Linked DNA regions of Saccharomyces cerevisiae S288C. The gene in region 1 interacts genetically with each later gene. Each region holds a gene or a part of one and is shown in the gene's direction. Other genes may lie near its edges.

Region 1 (8,358 bases):
CAATTATATTTGATTGCCTTAGCTTCCAATTTTGTTCTGTTTCCTTTACACTTTGGAACGGTGCCAACAAATTCTCCAAGTCTTGTTGTAATTGGTTCAAAGACTCATAGTTTTTTTTCATCGCTGGGTCTTTACTGCTCAAGTTGTTTGATAACTGCGGCAATTTCGCTTCGGCTAATAGTAATTGAAACTCGTACTCTTCGTCAAACAAGGTCGATTTATCTTCTTGTGAACCATGCTGGTCCTGTGACTTTGCTAAACTTATGAATTTTTGCTTGAATTTCTCAACTTCTAAATCGTTAATAAATCCATCTATCAGATCCTGTGAATTTTCGTCATCCATTTTCAAATACTTGTACATTATATCGAAAATAAGCTCTATTATTACATTATTGTTATCATCGTTTGCGTGTTCATTTAGGTTGTTATTTAAAAGGTTGGTGAAAGACAGCATGAAAAACCTCAGTAGTTGCAAATGATTTGAATTATTTTTCTCGTTGATCTGGATCAACTCATCGATGGTCAATAATGTAGATTTTATCCTATTCAGGTAATCTCCGTTTTGGTTTTCACTTGGTCTTCGCAAGAAATTTGCTAGAATAGCTTGGATCTTCGATGGATTAACCAAATAAATGGCTTCAATGGCTTTAATGGAAGCCAGCCAAAATTTCTTCTCATTAGGCAACTCGAAAATTAAGTGGTTTAGTAATTGCTCAACTAGAGTGTCATTGAATTGTACTGGAGACTGCATGGCCACACGTTTGATAAGGTAACAAAGCGAGGAATGTGATAGGAAGATTAACCGCGGGTACGAACGGTAAGCGTAATGGCCGGAGATGAACAGTAACGCAGCGAAATAAGCTTGGATCGACGATTCGTTAACTAGTTCCTTTTTTACATGTCCTTTGAACCGTGTAAGCAGTGCCATTTTTTCCTCGATGGGTACAGACTCGTCCTTGAATACGGTATACAAAGGGAAGGAATCGTCTGGATGTGTATTAGTGTTGCTGTTATTATTGGTCTCATTGTTGAAGGACGACATTATTTCTGAAGAATACAAGGTCTCTCCAAAAACCCTAATAATTACCGCTAAATATGCCTGTCAATCGGATGAAGGGAAGTTTCAACCTCAAATGTAAATAAATAGATGTTTAGCGTTTTAGAATAAATAAGTAAATAATTTGATTTTCTATAAAGATGTTAATGCGCCAATACGCGCCGACGGGGTAACGCATTAAAATAACATGGTATTTTCGTTTCATTACAAAAAAAGCACTATATGTACTAATAATTATGCTACACTTGTGTTTATATTGCCAGCGTCGATGTTGATGACAACGCAGAGTTCATACGGTTTTGGTTTTGGGCTTCACTTGTCTCAGTAGGTTGAGGGTTTGTATGAAGTTTCAGAGGCTCCGTTAGTAAATGACCCATTCTTTCTATCTTGGTCCTGAGATAACCTTCTATCTCCTTGGAGTCTATGCCTTCACTGGAGTTTGTCCAGTGTATGGGTACCATAGGCACTCGTTCAACGCACTTAAGGTAAGGCGCATGATCTACCTGTTTTATCTTTTCCGGGTTATTTGTCAGCAGCCTGACATTACCGATGCCAAGATCCAGCAAAATAGCCTTACCCAGCGAGAAGTCCCTAGCATCCACGGGATGTTTCAGCATTAAGTTGGCCTGCACTGTGTCAGCACCTAAGTCTTGCAGGTTGTAGGCCTTGAGTTTCTCACCTAACCCGATGCCACGACCCTCTTGTCTTAGATACACGATAACACCATGGCCGTTTCCACCTTTGATGTTGCTTGTGGGTTCGTGGTCGCAAGCGATAAGCCTACCGGCCCTATCGAATTGTTCACCACAATCACAACGGGCGCTCCATGCGTTTTCACCGGTGTAACATTCAGAATGGATCCGTACCAGCGTGTCGTTATGGGCGTCCCATGTAGTGGCTTTGGAAGCTAATAACTCACCTGTACTATCATCAAACTCCAGAGCTAATCCGAGTCTATCGTCTTCGTCTGCCACAGTTCTGCCGGGATACAGTTTGCCAATATAAGCGCCCCTGATCATTCTATCTTGTTGCGTCTCGCACTGTCTTCTACGGAATAGCGAGCGCGACCGTATGTCTTCACCAAACACAATGGCTAGATGTTCCTTGTTGTCCCTGTTGTTACTGTAAAGATGTAAAAAGATATCCGGACCCTGTGTGGTTGGGATACGAGCTCTTGCGACACATTGTACTAGAGGCAAGCCGCCATCGCCGTTCCTGCCATCACCCGTACCACTAACCTCGTATTTGCTGCTATCCTGTTTACTGTTGTCGTAGTTATCTATGGTCATCCTGTAGGTTTGTTGTAGTTTTATGTACGCCACTTTTTGTAATGACTCAATTATTGTCCACGCCAGCACAGCAACTTCTTTATATATACTATAGCGGCGCTGGCGCTCACCCCACAAGAGCGTCCGACTAATTTCTGACAAATCGTAAAAAGAAAAAGAAAAACTCAAAGGAAAAAGAAAAAGTCTCACCCTACACAACTTGTTTTCAAAAACGGTATAGACCCTACTATTTCTGTTTTAGCCCTATGCTAAGTCTAGACATTACCCTATCCCTTTTAACGAAAGCCCTTTTGTTTTTTTTCTGTGTGTCCGGCCGCTCAGCCAAACAACAAACAAGACTATAATCTGGAGCATAAGTACCCGAGCATATATAACTACTTGGCATACGAAGTAAAAGCATATTGCTCCCCACTCCTATCGCGCGTCCCCTGTACAACAAAGCATCAACTTATCGGGTAACTTAGAGACAGCATTAGTATATATACCAGCCATGTCACAGTTCTTCGAAGCTGCTACTCCCGTTGCAATTCCCACAAACAATACCAACGGCGGCTCCAGTGATGCCGGCAGCGCCGCCACTGGCGGCGCCCCCGTTGTTGGCACCACCGCTCAACCCACCATCAATCACAGGCTTTTGCTGTCATTGAAAGAGGCTGCCAAGATCATTGGCACTAAGGGCTCCACCATCTCACGCATAAGAGCTGCAAACGCCGTCAAGATCGGTATTTCTGAAAAGGTGCCCGGTTGCTCTGACAGGATCCTGTCCTGTGCTGGGAACGTAATCAATGTGGCCAATGCCATTGGTGATATTGTTGACGTGCTTAACAAACGGAATCCCGAAAATGAGGACGCAGCTGAGGGCGAAGCGGAAGAGCACTACTACTTCCACTTTTTGAACCATATTTTACCAGCTCCCTCAAAGGACGAGATCAGAGATCTGCAGCAACTGGAGGACATCGGTTATGTGAGGCTCATTGTGGCCAATTCCCATATCTCATCGATTATCGGGAAAGCAGGCGCCACCATCAAGTCCCTGATCAATAAGCACGGCGTTAAGATCGTGGCTTCCAAGGACTTCTTACCTGCTAGCGACGAGAGAATTATCGAGATCCAGGGTTTCCCAGGATCCATCACCAATGTACTTATCGAAATTAGCGAGATCATCTTGAGTGACGTTGACGTCAGATTCAGCACAGAAAGATCTTATTTCCCTCATCTGAAAAAGTCCTCCGGTGAGCCAACTTCCCCTTCTACCTCATCTAACACTAGGATCGAATTGAAGATTCCAGAACTGTATGTAGGCGCCATTATTGGCCGTGGAATGAACAGAATTAAGAATTTGAAAACTTTCACAAAAACCAATATTGTCGTGGAAAGGAAGGATGACGATGATAAAGACGAAAATTTTAGAAAATTCATAATCACAAGTAAATTTCCTAAGAATGTCAAACTTGCTGAGTCCATGCTTTTGAAGAACCTGAATACTGAAATTGAGAAACGTGAAAACTACAAGAGAAAATTGGAAGCTGCCGAAGGAGATGCCACTGTTGTTACTGAACGCTCTGATTCTGCTTCTTTCTTGGAAGAGAAGGAAGAACCTCAAGAGAATCATGATAACAAAGAGGAGCAGTCGTAGTATATACGTGTGCGTGCGCACGTCCCACACAGACAAAACAAACTATCATCTTAACGAATAATGTTGCATCATTACTAGTTTAAACTGTATTTTTATTAAAGGGAAAAAAATGATTCAATATGTATATATTTATTCATGTATATGTATTTTGAATTAAAAAAAAACGTTTTATAAATACTCAATAAAGCCGTTGTATTTTCTTTATTACTATCGAAATTCTTGCTTTAAACATTTCGCGCATCGCCGGCTAGAGGCACAGAGAGGGAAGGGGAAAATAACATGAAAAAATCGTAAGTTTCTAGGCAATGGTATAAACAAATAAACAATAAACATGCAATTACAGCTCTAGAACACATATTATCTTCATGGATGAATGATAAACTCCAAGAAGAGCATAACGAAAAAGACACCACTTCACAAATTAATGGTTTCACGCCGCCGCATATGAGTATAGACTTTCATTCAAATAACAATAGCAATATCATCGAGACTATTGGCGTTTCCAAAAGATTAGGAAATTCTGTATTAAGTGAACTGGATTCTAGAGCTAGCTCAAAATTTGAATTTTTAAAAGATCAATCCGAACAACAATACAACGGCGACAAGAACAATGAACCAAAATCGGGCTCGTATAATATTAATGAGTTCTTCCAAGCAAAGCACGACTCTCAATTTGGCCAGATGGAGTCGCTAGACACACATTATACCCTTTTACATACGCCCAAGAGAAAGTCACAACATGCAATCCCACAGGATCGATCGGATTCGATGAAAAGGTCGAGACCGTCCCGCTCAATTCCATACACTACACCAGTGGTAAACGATATCACAAGAAGAATACGAAGATTGAAATTACGGAACTCATTGGTTAATGGTAATGACATAGTGGCTAGAGCGAGATCTATGCAAGCAAATTCTAACATTAATTCAATAAAGAACACACCATTGTCAAAGCCCAAGCCATTTATGCACAAACCAAACTTTCTAATGCCCACTACGAATTCTTTGAACAAGATCAATTCCGCTCACCGTAATACATCCTCCTCTTCGACAGCTTCATCGATACCAAGATCTAAAGTACACAGATCGATATCAATAAGAGATTTACACGCCAAAACCAAACCGGTAGAACGCACGCCAGTTGCGCAAGGAACAAATTCGCAATTGAAGAATTCAGTTTCCGTTTTTGATAGACTTTACAAGCAAACAACGTTCTCTAGGTCGACGTCTATGAACAACTTATCGTCAGGAACCTCTGCAAAATCCAAGGAACACACAAATGTAAAGACTCGGTTGGTTAAAAGTAAGACAAGTGGTTCATTGTCCAGTAACCTTAAGCAAAGTACTGCCACCGGCACAAAGAGTGATAGACCTATTTGGCGGTGATTAAGTAATAAAAAAATTGCATTTTATAAGAAACATCATGTGATGACATTTAAAAAGTGGGAAAGAATACTACTAATATAAAACTATTTACTGGATATTTAGAATTTTTTTTTTTTCTTCTTTATACGTAAAAGTTGTTCAAAAAATTTCATCGTTTTCTTTTTTTATGAATCTTTGATTCTTGTTGAAAAGAATTTCTAAAAAAATAGGAGGATAATAATATTATCAAAACAAATCGTGTCACTCATTAAACACCAAAAATCCAAAGAAGAAAAAAAGGAAAATGTGAGAAAGAATTTAGATTAAGAATCAAGCCAGATTAGACTTATTTGAACTTCTTACCAAACAAGATCATTTGCAGTTGGTCGTACATTGAGATAACACCAGCACCTGCGACACCTCTTAAGATGTTAGCACCACAACCCTTGAATAGAGAACCAACACCTTCAGCAGCAACAATCTTCCTCAAACAGTCAAAGGCACCGTCGTACTTAACAGCTTGACCGGAGGTCATCATCATTCTTCTTCTAACGGTATCCAATGGGTAAGAACATGTAGAAGCACCAGTAGTAACAACCCAACCCAACAAGAATGAAGCCAAGAATGAACCTTCCAAAGAACCAGTCAACAATAGAGGCTTCAAAGAATCGTACATACCGAAGTATAGACCTCTGTAGACAACAATACCAACGACAGAAGGTAAGAAACCTCTGTAAAGACCAGCAACACCATCAGATTTTAAGGTCTTCTTGTAGACATCGATCAAACCGTTGAATTGACGAGCACCACCCTTTTTAGAGGACTTGGAGTCAGCAGCCAATCTAGTTCTTGCATAATCCAAAGAGTAAACAAATAGTAATGACAAGGCACCAGCAGCACCACCAGATGCCAAGTTACCGGCAAACCATTTGGCGTAACCTTCTTCCTTCTTGAAACCAAACATGGCCTTGATCTTGTCCTTGAAGGCGAAATTCAAAGCTTGAGTGGGGAAATAACGGATAACGTTAGCAGTGTTACCTCTCCAGAATGAGATAACACCTTCCTGTGTAGCGGTTCTCTTGAAACAGTCTAAGATACCTGCGTATTTTCTGTCCAAAGTACCTTGTTTTAACATTTCATCTTGGTTTTGGATCAAAAGTTTAACTCTTTCGATGGGAGATGCAGCAGTTTTGGCGACAGCGGCACTGACACCACCCATTAAGAAATCAATCAAAAAGTTAGATTCCTTCTTTGGAGCTGGGGCTGGAGGTAATGGGGTTTTGACTTGGGCGTTGGAAGACATGGCTATTTGCTTATATGTATGTTAATGTATGATTCTGAAGTATAAAAGAGCACACAAAAAAGAACAACGACAAATATAAATAATATAGAGGGGCTCCTTTGACTTGTAGATGTATTGCAATGTTCCGTATAACTAACAGTGAATATATACTTTTTTGAGTGGGTTGTCGTGAAAAATTAATATTAAAAACTCAAATGGTATTTATATTGTGCGACGACGTGGGCCCGATCGACGGAGACATGTCCCCGATAATCGCACCTCACCCTCTGAGAGTGGGGCCTTCTCATTGGCCCGCGCTCTACACCAATCAGCATAGCGCATTTACCGCCTTTCGCTTGTTCTCCATTGGAAACAGTGCTCGTGCATCGTGATGTTATTTGTTACGTATGGAAAAATCGTGTCTATACTTCTGTATAATATATGTATGGTTATAGTGAACACATATATATAAATACATATATAAGAGGAAGAAAAGGAAATTATTTCGTTATCAGTTGGGCTGCTTTTGTCGTAAGTTTTGTTGTTCTTGAATGACTTTATTAAGCTGTTCGTCATTCTTAAAATCTTGTCGCCAATTGCATATGGGGCAGTGCAACTGTTTTCCCCAGAAGACCGGAACCAACGGTATAAACCAAATAGTGAAAAATTCCTTTCTTTTTATGGGGCCGACACTATAATTGTGACAATTCGGGCAATACAGGTTTTGATGTCCGGGAACGGTATCGTATGAAGAGTCGAAACTCTTCATACCACATACAATAGGTATGAATGACATGGTAATTTTTTCTTTTTGAGGTTGTGTATTAAGTTGCTTATCTGATTTCACTTTACACCAATCTTCCTTGCTGACATTTATTCCCAACTTGTTCTTCAGCCGCTTGTTTTATAACGTACATTATTGTAAAAACGGAGTAGAAAGGGAAAAAGGGAAAGGGATGGACGTGGCTAATGCGCATCTTCGTTTGTGTGTATATCCTTTGATCTTCACTACATAATTTGTTACCCGACAATGCTTTTTTTTTTTTCTCAATTTTCATCTCTTTTCTTTTTCCTCATTTCTTATGAAAATCAGTGTGACTAAAATGAGACTTCGTATTTTTTGTAGAGGCACCATACGCCGGCTCCGCCGTCACCACATTCTCCCCTGCCGGTAAAGACCGGCGCACGCGGAAAAGGCGTACATAGCGTCGGGCGGTAACGGAGTCATTCCATCGCTGATAATTACCCCTTGCAGCAAACCCAGAGCCCTATTACGAATCTAGCCCATACACCGCGTTAGAGCACTCGCCGTTTTGCTCCGGGTCGTGCCGTCGTACATGCATACGCGTCCTGCAGGCATACCATAAGCCCACATACAATCACCTGTAGAAAGAAACAAAGCTTGTGTATGTAATCAAAGCAGAAATCTGATGGGTTCGAACGACTTCGTTATAGAAATATTATCTTTGGGTCTCGTCCTGCGTTATTCCTCCTGTCTCCTGCCGCTTTGATAACCTTTTCATTCCTCCCCTTAACTTGTTATTTCGTGTTACGATATTGGGTAACTTAGTAGCGTAAATGGTAAAATGTAGGGACTCAATCTCATAGGTGGTTATGTTTTTCGTTCTCATTTTTCAAATCTGTGACTTCACAGACAAAACGCGTAGTGATTTCTTTATCTGAATGAGCCTTCGAAAAAAAAAACAACGATTTCTTATGCAGTTAGTCG
Region 2 (8,405 bases), on another chromosome or scaffold:
CTGGGATCTATCTGGTCAAACTTATAAATTAAGGGAATGGCAAAATTCGAACCCACAAGATCTGCATGTAGTAACAAGCCAAATTAGTGCGAGAGCACATAGACAATCATCACATTTCGGACAAGTTGATGAAATAATTTAGCTTTCAAAATATAATATTCTATCCACTCATCAACCTCATTAATAATTTTTAAATAGCTCTAATTATAAAATAGTCTTTCATTATAGGTACATAAAAGAAAAGAAAGTCAAGGGGAAAAAAAAAAAAAAAAGGAAATTTCTAAATTTATGTTATTTGGTCCGTTTATGTAGTACTTCTATCATTTTTTGCATCTCTGTCGTAATCTACGTCGAACAATACGTCATTATTTGCGTTCGTATTTGCATTTACACTTGGCACTTCTTCAAAATCGGATGCTAAATCAATATCCATATTGTGATCGTGTTCCTGGTAGTCATTACGTGGCTCTCTATTAGGCAATGCCTCATCAGACAAGGAATTTATGTCATCTAAATCGAATTCTGATACATTTTCCATGTCAGTTGGTAATTGATGCGAGCACGCTAGTAAATATGATGTACTTGTAGGTCTCCAGAAGAATGCGAAAATGACGAAGACCAAGAAGTAAACGAAACTAGGCCAAGTATCTGTGATGAGGAATTCTGTTTTCCAATATTGTTCTATCATGTCAACAGTGTCCATACCGACGTATGCAAAAGTAGAGACTAGTAAGCCTAAGAAGAGTATAAACAACGAAATATAACACAATATGATCAGTTTTCTGTACATGTTTAATTTCACCACTTGGTTTTGTTCCCTCAAATAAGTCATTGTTTTGTTCATTGAAGACAGTGTCAAATAATAGAAAGCGAATAGACATAATACTAAGGGGATAGCAGTAATCAAAATCAAATTGGATAAAGACTCAGAATTCTGGGAATATTTTTGGACCAGGAATGCAACGCACACTGCAAACGTAAATATCGCAAATATTTGACATCTTCTTAGCAATGTACGGTCCAGTTTTGGATATACTATACCATATCCAAGAGATATCAGCAAGGCGAGGAGAAGCGTGAAAGTCATCTTACCGGCGCTAAAGATCGATATGAAAACCATATAGACATGAAGAGCGACGCTGGAGTTTCCCTTCTGGTTCTCAATAATATAGTACATCCAGACGAAAATAGTATCAGCTGTTAGGAAAATACAAAATACCAAAATGTACCTTTGTAAAGGCAGTAACTCATGTCTATGCTTCCAGCATAGCCAAGAGTACACTAATGTACAGACGGCATAAGCGACGGCCAAAAAGGCATAAATAGGCATCTTGTACGCCTCTGAAGCGTCCAATTGACCGTAAGCGTTCCTAAAATTCACTGTAGCCTTAAACTTGGAACTGGAAGAAATGAAAGATGACGTGGTCACACAATAGTAACCAGTTTTGTTAATTGAGTATACCTTGTCGTTAGTGCCCAATTCTTGTTGAGTGAAAGTCAAAATCTGACTCGTTAGCTTATGTTCCTTACTGGTGAACGGATCGATGGCTGTCTCTTGAATGATAAATTGCCCCTCCGACGAATCCTCACAGAGGCCCAAATCCAATGCGTAGTCATCGCAAATATACTGAATTTCTCCATTTGGTAACCGCACACCAATATGCTCATAATCTTGGAAATCAAACACAGCAACACTAACCCCCTCGCCATCATCGTCTTCATCAGCAAGTGACAATTCCTCCAACGTAAACGATATATAGGGGTCAACTTTTCCATTGAAATCCTCCTTGGAATACATCCCTGAACAGACATCGTGATATTTTTGATTTATGCTTTCTTGGTTCCCTTGAACTACCCCACAGAGTAGCAACAGCCACGTCAGTAATAGCCACGTTCTATCCATTTTTCTGTTCGCTAGTTATTGTGTCTAGTTTGCCCAAAAATGATTTACACAATACAGTTGAAATTTCAATACCTTTTTTTTCAATTTTCAGTTTTTCCATGTTGCAATGCGAGAATGGGTATGGGTAGCAAAAATTTCTAGTAGTAAAATCGATAGGAAAAAAAAAATGGAAAGAGCAATAGCCTTTTAGACCTGCCCTGCCTTATCAAGTTGTCATCTCATCGATGTAGGAATCTATTCTCTTGGCCATCCGGACGTCTATATCGCTAAGCTGGCTGTGAGCCCCGTCTTTCGGGTCTATGTCATGCGTATGAAGTTCCAGCTTGACCCAGGTGTAACTTGTGTGAATCAGGGGATGGTGGCCCCATAGATGAGATCTCATCGATACACGAGTCAAAAAGGCCCATGTGGTTTCGTAGTCCTTGAATGTTACCTCTCTTGTTATTCCCAAACATTTGGTCTTATTAGGGTCCCATTGAACTTCCCAACGGGTCAAGGGTTTTAGCTTCTCGAGTAGTTTGCCCCCTGTGAGTGCACTGGACGCGATTCTAACAATCTTGTTGTGCATTGTATTCTTACTTTGGTTTCTTTCTGCTTTTGGTAGGTTGTGTTTACTGTTTTATAACTGGAAGGGCTTAAATTCCAGATTGGAAAATTGAGAATGCCTTGGACAAAAAGCAAATAAAGGGACCCAAAAATAGTAAAGAGGAAATCAGGAAGGAAAGGCATGTCGTCAAGCCTTTTTATCCTGGATGAAAATCTGGAGCCATTGGTATCGAAGAATATTAGAGCACTACCGAATCTATCGTCGGTTCTTTCAAGTTTCAAACAATGTTATCATGACGGGTCGCCTCCAATTCTCTCCCAAAACGATTGGTTCTTTATACATTTGAAGAGAGACTTTCTGCATTTCGTTTCAGTGATACATACCACAGACAAACCAAATATAGACTTAATGACTATACTAGCCTTTTTGGAACAATTTTATCATCTTTTACAAAAATATTTTGAAATCGAGGTCTTAACTAAGAATGTCATACTGGACAACATCTTACTTGTCCTGGAGTTGATTGATGAATGTATAGACTTTGGTATCGTACAAGTGACGGATCCAAGTATCATCAAGGACTACATTCGTGTGAAGGTCAACGTACCAAGAGTTACAGTAGACAATGAGGAGTGGAGCCCTGGTGAAGAGAGCAGTAGTAGTAGCGGTAGCGATAGCGATAGCGAGTACAGCAATACTAATAAGAGGAAGGATAAGAAGAAGAAAAGGAAGAAGAAAAAGGGCACTAAAGGGAAAAGCGTGGGCAAAAGTAAATTAAAAAGTATAATGGTAAACAATAAAGAAAATAGGGGCATAAACGTGGTGGAAACTGTCAAGGAGACACTAAGGAACAAGAATGATACCGGTAAAGAAGCCGCTAATGACGAGCTCCCCAATGACGGTAATGATTTATACATCAATGGCGATATTGCGAAGACGATTATAATGCCCATATCATGGAGAACAAAGGGGATACATTACGCCAAAAACGAGTTCTTTCTTGATGTTATTGAACGTGTTCAGTACTTGATGGATTTTGAAAAAGGAGTGATTAGGAAAAATCTGATACATGGAGAGATTGTGTGCAGATGCTATTTATCAGGGATGCCCAAACTGAAAATATCCATAAACAAGATACTGAACAGGGACCCCCAGTTCATGTCGAATTCCAGCTTTCATCAGTGTGTTTCACTAGATTCCATAAACACTATTGAAAAAGATGAAGAAAAGAATAGTGACGATGATGCTGGTTTGCAGGCCGCCACAGATGCAAGAGAAATCGAATTTATACCGCCGGATGGCGAATTTGTTCTTTGCCAATACGAGTTGAAGAGACATGTAAAGGATGCGCCGATGGTGAGGTTGAAAGATTTTGAAATCAAACCTAAACTGAAGAAGTTTAAAATCCAAATTGTAACCAAAATTCAAACAAATTTTAAACCCACCAACTCAACGTCGAAGCTAAACGTGAGAATTCCCCTGACAAAAGTCTTCCAGGAATATAAAATAGACCTCAGCAAGCAAATTAGATTCAAGGCAAACATCGGCAAGGTCGTGTTTAACTTGAGTGACGATTTTCTCCTCTGGGAGATACAAACCATGAAGGGGCACCGAGAACATAGCACAAACAAGAGCTCACAGTACAACAGCGACGAAGATGATCCAAATACGTGTGCATCCATGGTGGCAGAGTTCCCCCTCTTCAACCAGGAAGAATATGACCGCCTGCAAGAAGAAATGAAAACCTCAATGAATCCGCCGCCCTTGCGCACGGGACCCAGGCTGGAAGAACTATATAGACAAGTGCACGACCAACAAACTTCCCACGTTACTCCTCGAGATAAGTTGGTCAACATTGATTTCGAGATTCCGTACTGTACATGCAGTGGCCTGAAAGTTGAGTACTTGAAGGTCGAAGAGCCACAATTGCAGTACCAGTCTTTCCCCTGGGTCAGATACAAGACCGTCAGCGACGAAGAGTACGCATATATTGTTTGACGCTTACGCAGACATCTCATAGATAGACAAATGGTACGTTCGTTTTAGTATATAGATGGCACCTTATAATCTTCATATGCAACCGGGTAAAATCGGGCGTTCTTATTTTTTTTTTTTCCACCTCAATGAGAGGGATTAATAAGAGGATTGGAGCAAGACAGCGATCTGCACTTAGCCAAGAAAGCATATCAGGCCAGAACGTGGCATTTTGTTTACAGTGCTGATTAAAGCGTGTGTATCAGGACAGTGTTTTTAACGAAGATACTAGTCATTGATGTCTGAAAATCAACGTTTAGGATTATCAGAGGAAGAGGTAGAAGCGGCTGAAGTACTTGGGGTGTTGAAACAATCATGCAGACAGAAGTCGCAGCCTTCAGAGGACGTCTCACAAGCTGACAAAATGCCGGCAAGTGAGTCGTCTACGACGCCGCTAAACATTTTGGATCGCGTAAGTAACAAAATTATCAGTAACGTAGTGACATTCTACGATGAAATAAACACCAACAAGAGGCCACTGAAATCAATAGGGAGGCTGCTAGACGATGACGATGACGAGCATGATGATTACGACTACAACGACGATGAGTTCTTCACCAACAAGAGACAGAAGCTGTCGCGGGCGATTGCCAAGGGGAAGGACAACTTGAAAGAGTACAAGCTGAACATGTCCATCGAGTCTAAGAAGAGGCTTGTAACGTGCTTGCATCTTTTAAAGCTGGCCAATAAGCAGCTTTCCGATAAAATCTCGTGTTTACAGGACCTTGTTGAAAAGGAGCAGGTGCATCCTTTGCACAAGCAAGATGGAAATGCTAGGACGACCACTGGAGCTGGCGAGGACGAGACATCGTCAGACGAAGACGACGACGATGAGGAGTTTTTTGATGCCTCAGAGCAGGTCAACGCCAGCGAGCAGTCTATTGTGGTGAAAATGGAGGTGGTCGGCACAGTCAAGAAAGTCTACTCGCTGATATCGAAGTTCACAGCAAATTCGCTGCCGGAGCCCGCAAGATCTCAGGTTCGGGAAAGTCTTCTAAACTTACCCACAAATTGGTTCGACAGCGTCCACAGTACATCACTGCCGCATCATGCTTCGTTTCATTATGCCAACTGTGAAGAACAAAAAGTGGAGCAACAGCAACAGCAACAGCAACAGCAGCAGCAGCAGCAACTTTTGCAGCAGCAACTCCTGCAACAGCAACAGCAAAAAAGGAACAAGGATGGCGACGACTCAGCCTCGCCGTCCTCCTCCGTAACTGCGAATGGGAAAGTACTCATTCTCGCCAAAGAATCCCTGGAAATGGTGAGAAATGTCATGGGCGTAGTCGACTCCACGTTGGGCAAGGCTGAAGAATGGGTGAAGCAGAAACAGGAGGTAAAAGAAATGATCAGGGAGCGTTTCTTGCAACAGCAGCAACAGTACAGGCAGCAACAGCAGAAGGATGGCAATTACGTAAAGCCCTCTCAGGACAACGTGGATAGCAAGGACTAACCGAGACAGATTGAGGTCTTTCATGCATTACCACCAGTAATAATATTATACGGAATAATATAGTTTATATAATATCCATAATCATAATCATAATCATAATCATAATCATAATCGTGATATTGTACCAGCCCCGCTTCTCCCCTTTTGAACTACCATTATTATCGGACCCTCTTTACCTTTGAATGGCTCAGTAAGGACCTTTGCGCAGCCGTAAGGGGGTCGGGAATACATTTCCGGGGTTGATCCTCGAGGAAAAGTGCTATCTATATAAGGAGAAGCCCTTCTAGATCCAAATATCAGGGGTAACTCTTCACAACTGGCCAGGAACATATTCCAAGTTAAAAAGAAAAAATAATTATTAGAAACCAATTACCAACACAAGATGCTAAGATCAAATTTATGCAGAGGATCTCGAATCCTTGCAAGACTGACCACTACACCAAGGACATACACATCTGCGGCGACAGCTGCGGCTGCGAATCGGGGACATATCATCAAAACATACTTCAATAGAGATTCTACGACAATTACGTTCTCCATGGAGGAGTCCAGCAAGCCGGTTTCCGTTTGCTTTAACAACGTTTTTCTTAGAGATGCCTCCCATAGTGCCAAGCTGGTGACCACGGGAGAACTGTATCATAACGAGAAATTGACCGCTCCTCAGGACATTCAAATTTCTGAGGACGGAAAATCTCTAGTGGTGAAATGGAAAGATGGCGGTCATCACCAGTTCCCTTTACAATTCTTTATCGACTATAAAGGTTCCAGTTTTGTTTCGCCAGCAACAAGAAAACAAGAATCCAGATATAGACCCCAGTTATGGAATAAGCGCATCCTGAAAGATAACGTCAAGGACTTACTTTCTGTGAGCTACAACGAGTTTATTGATCCTAAGGATGACTCCAAGCTTTTCCAAACGCTGGTCAACCTACAAAAGTTTGGTATCGCTTTCATTTCCGGTACTCCTTCATCCTCCTCTGAAGGCCTTACCATACAAAAGATCTGTGAAAGGATCGGACCCATAAGATCGACTGTACATGGTGAAGGTACATTTGACGTGAATGCATCCCAAGCGACAAGTGTTAATGCCCATTATGCCAATAAAGACTTGCCGCTACATACGGATTTACCATTTTTAGAAAATGTGCCAGGTTTCCAGATTCTACAATCTCTACCTGCTACAGAAGGGGAAGATCCCAATACTAGACCCATGAATTACTTCGTGGACGCATTTTATGCTACCCGTAATGTTAGAGAATCGGATTTTGAGGCTTATGAGGCTTTACAAATTGTTCCTGTAAATTATATATATGAAAACGGCGATAAGAGGTACTACCAATCCAAACCTTTAATCGAACATCACGACATTAACGAGGACAATACTCTTCTGGGTAATTATGAGGCCTTGATTAAATGCATTAACTACTCTCCACCATACCAAGCACCTTTCACTTTCGGAATTTATGATAAGCCCTCAGATCTAAATAATAATCTGGACTTGAATTTAATTACCACCCCAGCAAAACTAACAGAGAGATTTTTGTTTAAGTCTTTCATTAGGGGGTTGAACTTGTTCGAGAGTCATATCAATGACTTCAACAATCAATTTAGATTGCAGTTGCCCGAAAACTGTTGTGTTATCTTTAACAACAGGAGAATTTTGCATGCTAACTCTTTAACAAGCTCAAACCAGCAATGGTTAAAGGGTTGCTATTTCGATTCTGATACTTTCAAGAGTAAATTAAAGTTCTTGGAAGAGAAGTTTCCTCATGACAAATAACTTCATTTTTTCAGCATAGTTATGTGATTCTTTATATTTATTTATTTTCTCTCTGTGTAGTGACAATTTTTTTTTTAATGTTTCATGTTAAATATATTTATTTTAAGAAGCCGTCAGTTTCCTTTTGTTTCATTGAAATCAATAACTAAAATTAAAATTATAAAAGGAATAACGTAAAAGAAAGTCTACTACCCAAGGAAAATCTACTTTATTTAGTGATTATATCCAACTAAATATCATTCAAATAACCTCACATATTTGTCTTCACCCTTAAGATTTTACGATTTACTAAGTTCACCTTCTCATGGCTTTGGAGGGATTGCGGAAAAAATATAAAACAAGGCAGGAATTGGTCAAAGCACTCACTCCTAAAAGACGGTCCATTCACTTGAACTCCAATGGTCACTCCAACGGAACTCCCTGTTCAAACGCAGATGTTTTGGCTCATATTAAGCATTTCCTGTCATTGGCGGCTAATTCATTAGAGCAACATCAACAGCCTATTTCAATCGTCTTTCAAAACAAAAAAAAAAAAGGCGATACAAGCAGTCCTGACATTCACACAACATTGGACTTCCCTTTGAATGGCCCGCATCTATGCACTCATCAGTTCAAGTTGAAAAGATGCGCAATCCTTTTAAACTTATTGAAAGTCGTTATGGAAAAATTACCGCTAGGTAAAAACACT
Region 3 (8,973 bases), on another chromosome or scaffold:
AGCTGCATCTCCCTTTTCTGACAGGGTCAATAGCTCTTTAGCCAATAATCCATGATAGTTTCTTTTAAAGCGGTAGGCGTCATGCGAGTTTTCGAAAGATATAAATCGTAGATTTCTTTTCATTTCATCATCCCAGTATATCTTGAAGCTAGACCTTATGTTGTAAAACCAAAAATAATTCAATATATCGTGCGACCGTAATTTAGTGGGTATATTCCAGACTAATACGGACTTATTTTCTATTTCTTCCACCGAATCAAGGATACTCCGTAACTGATTGGTAGTGAACTCTCCACTAACATCGACTTTTTCGTTTAGTCCCTCAAAATATTGCTCAGATGATCGGAATGCGTTATATAGATTTTTTGAATATCTTTGTAATTTTGTTAACAGGGTTGGCAAGGGTTGCGCCAATGGCGTCATTTTCACCCTGATCTTGTTTATTCGCGAGTGTTTTGTTAATTTGATATACTCAGTAAGCGAGTTATAATCATTAAAAAACAAGTAATACTGATCCTTGAACTGGAAGTATTTAGGGTCCCTGACTTTCATCAACTGAAAGTCAAGCTCATTTGTAAATTGTCCCCTCTTTTTATACAAATTTTCTGGCAGAATTGACAGGAAATCCTCCTTAACTAAATATGGATTGTAGCTTCTATATTGTAGGACAGAAGGTTTCTTTTCCTGCAACTGCTGCTGCTTATTAACAGATGCCGTTTTCTCACTTATTGTTGCTGAATTTCCTGACTCTACGGAGCCAAGAACTCTTCCCGTGGACTTCAGATGGTCCAGTACTAATTTAATAGCTTTACTAGAAGCCTTCATATCTGCTTTACATCGATGACAAAGGGATAATGGGTAGAGTCTGGCACTCCTACCCTAAATTGTTAACTTCCTATTTGAGTTCGTGGTGTTAGTATTCTCATCACGATTAACGAATATGAAAAAAAAAATTGAAAATTTTGTAGAAACGGAGTGCTCAGTATAAAAAGCGCATAGTAAGACTTTTTGTTAAATGTTTCTTTCCTCCTATATATTTTAAAATACTTTTCTTTCTTTTTGTTTTAAAACCTGCAAGCAGCTTTACAGATCAATGGCGGAGGGAGGTCAACATCAAGAACTGTGGGCCTTTTATTGCCTATAGAACTTATAACGAACATGGTTCTTGCCTTTTACCAGAACCATCCGGGTGTTGTCTCCATAGAAACAGGTAAAGCTGTCCGTTACTGTGGGCTTGCCATATTTTTTGGAACTTTTCTGCCCTTTTTCTCAATGAGTAAGGAGGGCGTTTATCTTTTCTATTTTATTTTTCTACAAATTTGATTCATGAGTCCATGGAACAAATATATAGAACTCATTTTCTTGTTTCGGTATATATATTAACTCCATTGAAGCATTTGCTTTTATCCTGACTGCATTTTTAGGAAGCTTTAAGTAAAGAATAGATAATATGGAGCAGAAATAAGACGATCACAGGAGCAAGTCGCGAAAAAAGAACAAGAATGCGCTTTTAAAGTTTCGCGTTCGATACATTTGAGACTAAACTATTCGAAAGTGTTCGATGTTCAATAATGACCAGTCGCGTAAAGGAGCATTTGCATAAAAGAGTATACCCTTTACTCTTGTTTCATCGGTTGTTGCCTTTATCTTAGGCTGCAATAGCATAGTAAAGCAACTTGTGCGATCGAAATATACTTCATAGTAACTGCAAGTGAGAAATAGTGCTTCCCCTACTTTAGATGCTATAAAGCGTCCATGTTTAGTCACTACCGCTATAAAGAAAATTCTTGCCAAAAAAGAGAGGCTATACCAGACAAATCTCGCGTATCACTGACATTTCTTCAGAAAAGAACCGATTCATCTAACGTCACTGTTGCAGTGGCCGTTGCTGTTCCCATTGGTGCTATTATTATAGTACTATCCGTCGTTTTAATAGTAGTATATAGGAGATGCAAAAAAGAACCTTCTATGCAGGATTTTGACCCAAATTTTGAGGGCGATTTATACTATTTACCGAAGATGGATTCTTCTATGAATTCTGCAAACTCAGACAGCAATGCCACAGAAAAGAGGTTTATTTATGGTGGTTATGACGATTTTTTGCAACCGTCAATCGAAAACTCACAATCTTTCAAAGATTATGTGAGGCGTATCAATGAGCATGCACCCTCCGCTTATAATATTGCTTCACTGGCTTCGCAGAATAACAGCAAGTTATCGGTCCCCTCCAAGCACATTGACCTTTCGAATAAGATTTCTTTCGAATCGTTAGAGAATTCTGAGCTGATTGTTTCACCACAACACTCAAATACTGGGCAAGACTGTGATCAAAGATGTGATAGTACGTCAAATCCTGATGTAAATGAAAAGTCCAGCCATAACAACGATAATCGACTTAAATCGAATTATACGAGTCGTAGCGGGCTCGAGCCTCAGTGTTCGAGAGAGGAGGAAGAAAATATTGACAGAATAAGAAGCATTTATAACATTTATTTTGAGAAAAGTAATAGCACGATACGATCCTCTGTAACTTCTTCGATACGGCGTGACTCTAAATTAAACATCGCTACAAGAAAAAGTGTAAATATGAGCTCTCAAGACAATCCAAATGATACTACATTAATTGAACAGAGTCACTTCGGAAGTACAACTGTCCAAGAAATTGATTCCAGTTCCAGCGCCAATGAGGAATATGAAGATGCAACTGATTATCTGCAAGTGCCGGCACCACAAGAGAATAAAAACATTGCATCGTCAGTATATTCAGAAGTAGCAACCAGAGAAAAAGTGATTCCCGAATCGTCTCTATCTCTTACATTCCCACCACCGAATGGTCTTTCAACGAGAATTACCTCATCAATATATTCTGACACGGTCGCTAAGGACCATATTCACTCTGCAAAGGCTCCCGTACGGGCCCTTTCGGAGGGTTCGGGTCAGTCAAATCTTACTTCTGCTCAGCAATATTCTACATATTTTATAGATCACTGCAACCAGAGCAATGATGACAATTACTACTATAATTATCCCCTCCCGTTAGAACATCCTCAAAATTATGAGAACATCGGAGATTTGCCCACGCCTACCCAATTCATTTATTCCACCTCTTCGCATTCCTTGACGTCATTCAAAGGAAGGCCTAAACCTCCAAAAACACTAAAACATGTACCTACAGCTAGGCTTAATGGGACAGCGTTGAATCCAATGGATCATCCTGAAATGTTTTACAGTTCGCCTACGAAAATACCGTCAACATCTTTGACAAAGCAATTTTGTACGCCCCTTCCATATCAGCTTAGACAAAGTGTTGTTATGACCAACCCATCAGAACTTTCTATGAAACCTCGCTATAAGCCTGCAGGATCTTTAAGAAATTTAATAAAGGCCCAATATCTCCCTGGTAACTCATCCACTACAACATCATCTTCTTTATCACAACCGCCGTCAACGTTGTCAAATGCAATAAATTTCCGTGTTAGTGGGTTATTGGATGACACTGACATCTTGCAGCCTCCTAGTGTGGGGGAAATCTTACCTTTTAAAGCTTCTACGGAAGACTTAAGGAAGCAACTGGGCACATCCCATAATTACGAAATAACACCGTACGAGAATGTACATGTATAAATAAAATTCAAAATCATGAAATGTTGTAACAGTAAATAAGCACCATAAATTCGTTTCTCGATGATCCTCTTCTTTCCTTAATTGAAATGCTAATGCCATTTCTCCTATTACAGTCGCGAGATATTTGTTTTCGGGTAATCCCTTGTCAAACGAACTTTATTGAAAAATATATGGACGATAAATTGACAACTGGGACGAGAAAGGGCAACTCTTTGAAAGCAAGAGAGAACAAATATAGCCATGTCGAAGTTCCTACAGGGATCAATATTTAGCATATCAAAACTTCATGTTAGATATTCTTCTACTCGGCCTTTTCTAGTGGCTCCTAGTATTGCTAACAGTATAACAACCGAGGCTCCAGCGATTAATCACTCACCTGAACTGGCAAATGCGAGAAAATGGCTACCAAAAAGATGCGGTTTAATTACTCGTAAGAAGGGAATGATGCCTTATTTTGATAAATCTACTGGTGAAAGAAGCGCCGCTACTATATTAGAAGTTAATAATGTTGAAGTAATAATGCATAGAACTTCGGAGGTCAATGGGTACTTCGCGTGTCAAGTAGGGTACGGATCAAGGCATTTGTCTAAAGTTAGCAGACAAATGCTTGGTCATTTCGCTTCTAAAGTTGTTAACCCAAAAGAGCATGTGGCCGAATTCCGAGTTAAAGATGAAAAGGGATTAATACCACCTGGCACATTATTGAAACCCTCTTTTTTCAAAGAAGGCCAATATGTTGACGTCAGATCAGTCAGCAAAGGCAAAGGTTTTACTGGTGTGATGAAAAGGTATGGATTCAAGGGTTTGAGAGCATCTCATGGTACATCTATTATGCATAGACACGGTGGTTCTTATGGTCAAAACCAAGACCCAGGTAGGGTACTGCCAGGAAGAAAGATGCCTGGTCATATGGGAAACGAGCATGTTACTATCCAAAATGTTAAAGTTTTGAAAGTCGACGATGAAAATAATGTTATTTGGGTTAAAGGCTCTGTGGCTGGGCCCAAAAACAGTTTCGTTAAAATTCAAGATGCAATCAAAAAAACTTGAGCATAAGGCGTATAAGTATTTTACTACAATCATGTACATACATCAATAATAACAATAAAATGGGTAATCACTTAAGAATCTTCAAATAATATTCTTTACTTTTCCATGAAGTTGGCTAAATAGTATTTAGTACTATATTAGAGTATTGGAACTTTGAAGAACCAATTTACATACAATATGAAGTGAAAAAGAAATGAAAACCCCGTGGTTATAAATTAGAGACTAGTTAATAAAAGGGAAAAAATATTGGAAATTTAAAGAATGATACGCCACCGCCTCTAATCATCAAGTTCGGAAGGTTTTAATAACCCACCAATCTTGGCAGCTTTTTCCCTCTCTAGTCTATTCTGTTCCATTAATGCATTCTCTTTATCTTCAGCAAACAAATAATCTGTTGGATCACCTCCGACTTCTTTGATTTGCACCAAAAAGTCCCTCAAAGTGCCTTTGAAGACCACTAAGTCTTTGTATTGTTTAGTTAATGCAGAGAGAAAACTTGCGATTTGTTCGGATGTTAAATGGGGGAATGCATTACTTAACATATTAGCCAAATATTGGCTTAAGTAGACTTGATTTGAAGTTCCTTGTGGTACCTCAGCTTCTTGATATAATGGTACCGAAATCTTGTTATCATAAACCAAAGAAATCAACTTCATTAGTAACAAAGCTTGCTTAGAAAAACCGGATTTGTGGTCGGAATCGGTTAAAACAAAAAACGTTTCACTGACAAAAATGAAAAAATAATTCTTGTGGAACTCATTTGCAAATGGGACATTTCCCATTCTTTCAATGTTTTTCACTAGGTCTAATGCAATCTGTAGACCATTAACTTCGACATCTCTATTGTTATGTTTGAACGCCCAACAAATAGCGTCAACAAACAATTTAAAGGCAGCCGGAGGTAGTTCCAAAAATGCAGCAAATGATTTCTCATTGATGACCTTCAATAACTTGTAAAATTCTACACGATGCTCTGGATATTCTGTGAAGTCTTTGTTAATCATGTCCAAAGTGCATTCAAATACACTCTGTAAAATTAAAATAACACCTTGTGGGATCATATGACCAACCTTTTCTACTACTGTTGTCATACAATTTAGCACTTCGGCGTCCCTTGCATCAGGAACGTTGTTCATATAGTCTTCAAGTACAGCGTTCAATAATGGCTCAACTAACACTTTAACGACATCATCCAAATTTCTCGCCTTGGATATATAGGTCTCAACAAGCTTCAGAATCTCTTTTTTGATGGTTCTCAAACCACGAACCTTTGGTGTCTTCGTAGCAATTAGACCTTCTGCGGCAACTTGAGCAGAAATCATCGAAGAAACAGCTCTGTATAGCTGAAGCATATTGTAATAGATGTGACCCAACTGTGGATAGAAATCTGCTCCCATTGAGGTGCAGACAGCTACATTGGTTTTTATAATATTCGCAATAATTTTGACAGTTTCAGAATCTAACAACAATGTTGGGTTAGCAGTGGATTGTTCCACTATAGTGTCCCAAGCCATATTTGGCAGTTGCATCAAATCACTTAATAATCTATTTCTCTCCGCTACGCTTCTTTCTTCAGAAATAATAATACCACAAGCCTTGTAAAATGTATGGACCTGTTGCGGCTGTAGGTCAGCAGTTGTCTTTTGAATATCCCTAATTATTGTTTGGATGAAAGGCTCAGACTCACGGGGTTGTTGAATAACAAAATGATATTTACATTTTTGAACAATCTTAATGAATGTGTCACATGCCATATCCTGAACACCCTCATGAGTTTCATGCATAAATTCAAAAAGTTTCAAAATAACTGTTCTTAGAAAATTCCAGTGAGCCTTCAAAAATCTAGGATATTGGCCCACGACGTACATAATATCCGATGCAACAACAGCTTTATTATCTTTACCCCTTTTCTTGACCGTTAAATCTAGTAAATCTTTAATAACAGTAACTACAAACCTTTTTTCAGTATCTTCGCTCATTGTACCAGATATGGAACCAATAGCCCAAGATAAAGTGTTGATATTATGCCATGACCATTCGGAACCATCGATTTGCCTTGCCAATTTACTGATCATGATTTCTTCTGTATCGATAACATTCAAATGGGTCAAATATACAAGAACCTCTCTTTCTGATTTGTATAATTGGATAGTGTCTGATTCTTTAACGAACTCTCTAACAATTTCTCCTTCATCATTTTCAACCACAAGGACTTCTTCTGGTCTAACCATATTTTCAATAATGACCAATCTCAACTGTGAACAAATTTCTTCGTAAATATGTTTTTTTAATGGAAATCTTTTCATATATTCCGGATTTAGGGCGCCAGATCCAGTTGAGATAGCTTGTGAACCGACTGATAACTGTATCAATGGGCTCATTTCGGTAGCAGGCAAACGCTGAACCTCATAAAACAAATCTGCTACTAAATTATGCCAGTAATCCAATGTCGTCTTAAATAGTTCTCTTTCTTCGATTTTGGATAATTGAATTAAGTATTGGTGCGCATTCAACAACAACTCTCTTAACGATTCATCACTCTCTAGAAGGGCCCTATTACGAGCGAGATATGTAGTTAGAAACATTGCTAAATCTTGTAAGAAAGATTGATCATTACCGTTAGCATTTGCATAAGTGGCTTTCAGATCGGCAGTCACGGGCATCACACTTGTGGCAATTTGTTGTAGAGTATTTTGGAAAAAAAGTACAGTTTGTCTTTTTATCAAATCATTATCTTGTGGAATTTTTAGATTTGAAACCTCAGTCAAACATTTCAATGTGATGGCTCTTGTATCAGGCGATGTCATGAATTTGGTGCTTAATAATTCCAAAATATTGGTTTCATAAATATAACGATAAGGAATCCAATGTAAATATCTCAGTAAAGATTCTAAGGTTGCCACTATTAGAGAGCTTGAAGAACCTTGTTCCAAAACTTGAAAACATAATTTAAAAATCTGTTCAAATTCTTTTGACATGGAATTTTTCAAATGTAAAGCTTTAGCTTGTGTCATTTGTTCCGCAGAGAAATCGAAGACTTCTTCGGATAGCAGTTTCAAAACGATCATGTTATTTTCACAAACATTAACAGAGGAACTTGAACTGCCGATTAGTTCTGGGATAAATTCAGGCCAATTCTGAGGCCATTCCTGCTTTAAAATTTGGACCAAAGTCAAGTCCGACTTATTGATCAGGTTCTTTTGTGTTTTAAATACTTCATCGTCTTGGCACATGGAGATAATCATACCAACAACGAAGTTCCTAATTCCAATTCTATGATCATTCGGCAACAATTTCCATTTTCTAGTAATTAATTTATCAAGGATGGAAAGGGCAATAAATTTTGATTGAGGGTTAGTTGAGAATTGAAGAATTTGGTCAGCTTTTTGCCAAGCGTCTGGATTATCTTGAAATTTAGTCAAAATCTCTTGGGCTTGCTTTTGCTGAACACCTGAACCTTGATAGAATGTAGATACCACCTGATCTAATAGAGCGATATCTAAGTCGTTAGAAAAATCCAAAATTCCTTCCATATTATGTTTTTATCCTATTTTTGAAGTCAGTGAGCGGTTTCAATAATGTAGAGTAAAATGTTAACTTCTTCTTAATTATACTATTAGTTAAGTTTCTTGCCTTTCACAGGTCAACGTCTATTATTGTAGGTGTAAGTAATTGAAAGAGCGAGAATGATAGAAAAGAACAAAAGAAAACTTAACAATGATTGACTTTACTTAAAATAATCAGGCCAGAGAAATGAATAGTGTTGAGGTTCTCAAGATCTATGTCAAAGTTGTGACCGAATATCCTGCAGTTGATAATCTTTTTTGCCTTTGCTATTAGCGATAATTCATAATAATGCTAACGTAGGAAGAATAAGGAAAGCCAGGGAAATCTGCGAAATTCTTTTTTTTTCTTATAAAGAAAGATCATTCCAAATAGTATATATCTCCGGGTAATGATGTAATATTGCCCTTCATAATATATTATTTGTATTGAAACGATATAAGAGGAGAGGATTGACAGTAACTGGGAGGTATATAATGTGTACACAACATGAGAAATGGGTAAATGATGAGATAATTGTTGGGATTCCATTGTTGATAAAGGCTATAATATTAGGTATACAGAATATACTAGAAGTTCTCCTCGAGGATATAGGAATCCTCAAAATGGAATCTATATTTCTACATACTAATATTACGATTATTCCTCATTCCGTTTTATATGTTTCATTATCCTATTATATTATCAATCCTTGCACTTCAGCTTCCTCTAACATCGATGACAGCTTCTCATAAC

Evidence for each region.
Region 2: mutations in SHE1 (region 1) and OPI1 together harm fitness more than expected from each alone (negative genetic interaction), as found in Saccharomyces cerevisiae (2 studies listed by BioGRID).
Region 3: mutations in SHE1 (region 1) and TOS2 together harm fitness more than expected from each alone (negative genetic interaction), as found in Saccharomyces cerevisiae (2 studies listed by BioGRID).

What each region holds. Positions count from the first base shown.
Region 1 is NC_001134.8:157,348-165,705, forward strand, and holds SHE1 (She1p), read left to right. Parts: upstream 1-4,351; coding exon 4,352-5,368; downstream 5,369-8,358. Other genes in the region: STU1 (Stu1p), read right to left, coding at 1-1,042; RIB1 (GTP cyclohydrolase II), read right to left, coding at 1,309-2,346; HEK2 (Hek2p), read left to right, coding at 2,837-3,982; ADP/ATP carrier protein PET9, read right to left, coding at 5,694-6,650; YBL029C-A (uncharacterized protein), read right to left, coding at 7,141-7,425.
Region 2 is NC_001140.6:63,774-72,178, reverse strand, and holds OPI1 (transcriptional regulator OPI1), read left to right. Parts: upstream 1-4,722; coding exon 4,723-5,937; downstream 5,938-8,405. Other genes in the region: DUR3 (Dur3p), read left to right, coding at 1-142; YHL017W (uncharacterized protein), read right to left, coding at 305-1,903; MCO14 (4a-hydroxytetrahydrobiopterin dehydratase), read right to left, coding at 2,109-2,471; APM2 (Apm2p), read left to right, coding at 2,631-4,448; AIM17 (Aim17p), read left to right, coding at 6,320-7,717; SPO11 (DNA topoisomerase (ATP-hydrolyzing)), read left to right, coding at 8,022-8,405. UniProt on the Saccharomyces cerevisiae protein: Negative regulator of the transcriptional complex INO2-INO4 in response to phospholipid precursor availability.
Region 3 is NC_001139.9:931,775-940,747, reverse strand, and holds TOS2 (Tos2p), read left to right. Parts: upstream 1-1,755; coding exon 1,756-3,624; downstream 3,625-8,973. Other genes in the region: PET54 (Pet54p), read right to left, coding at 1-825; mitochondrial 54S ribosomal protein uL3m MRPL9, read left to right, coding at 3,865-4,674; exportin CRM1, read right to left, coding at 4,953-8,207. UniProt on the Saccharomyces cerevisiae protein: Seems to be involved in the anchoring of CDC24 to the membrane of polarized growth sites.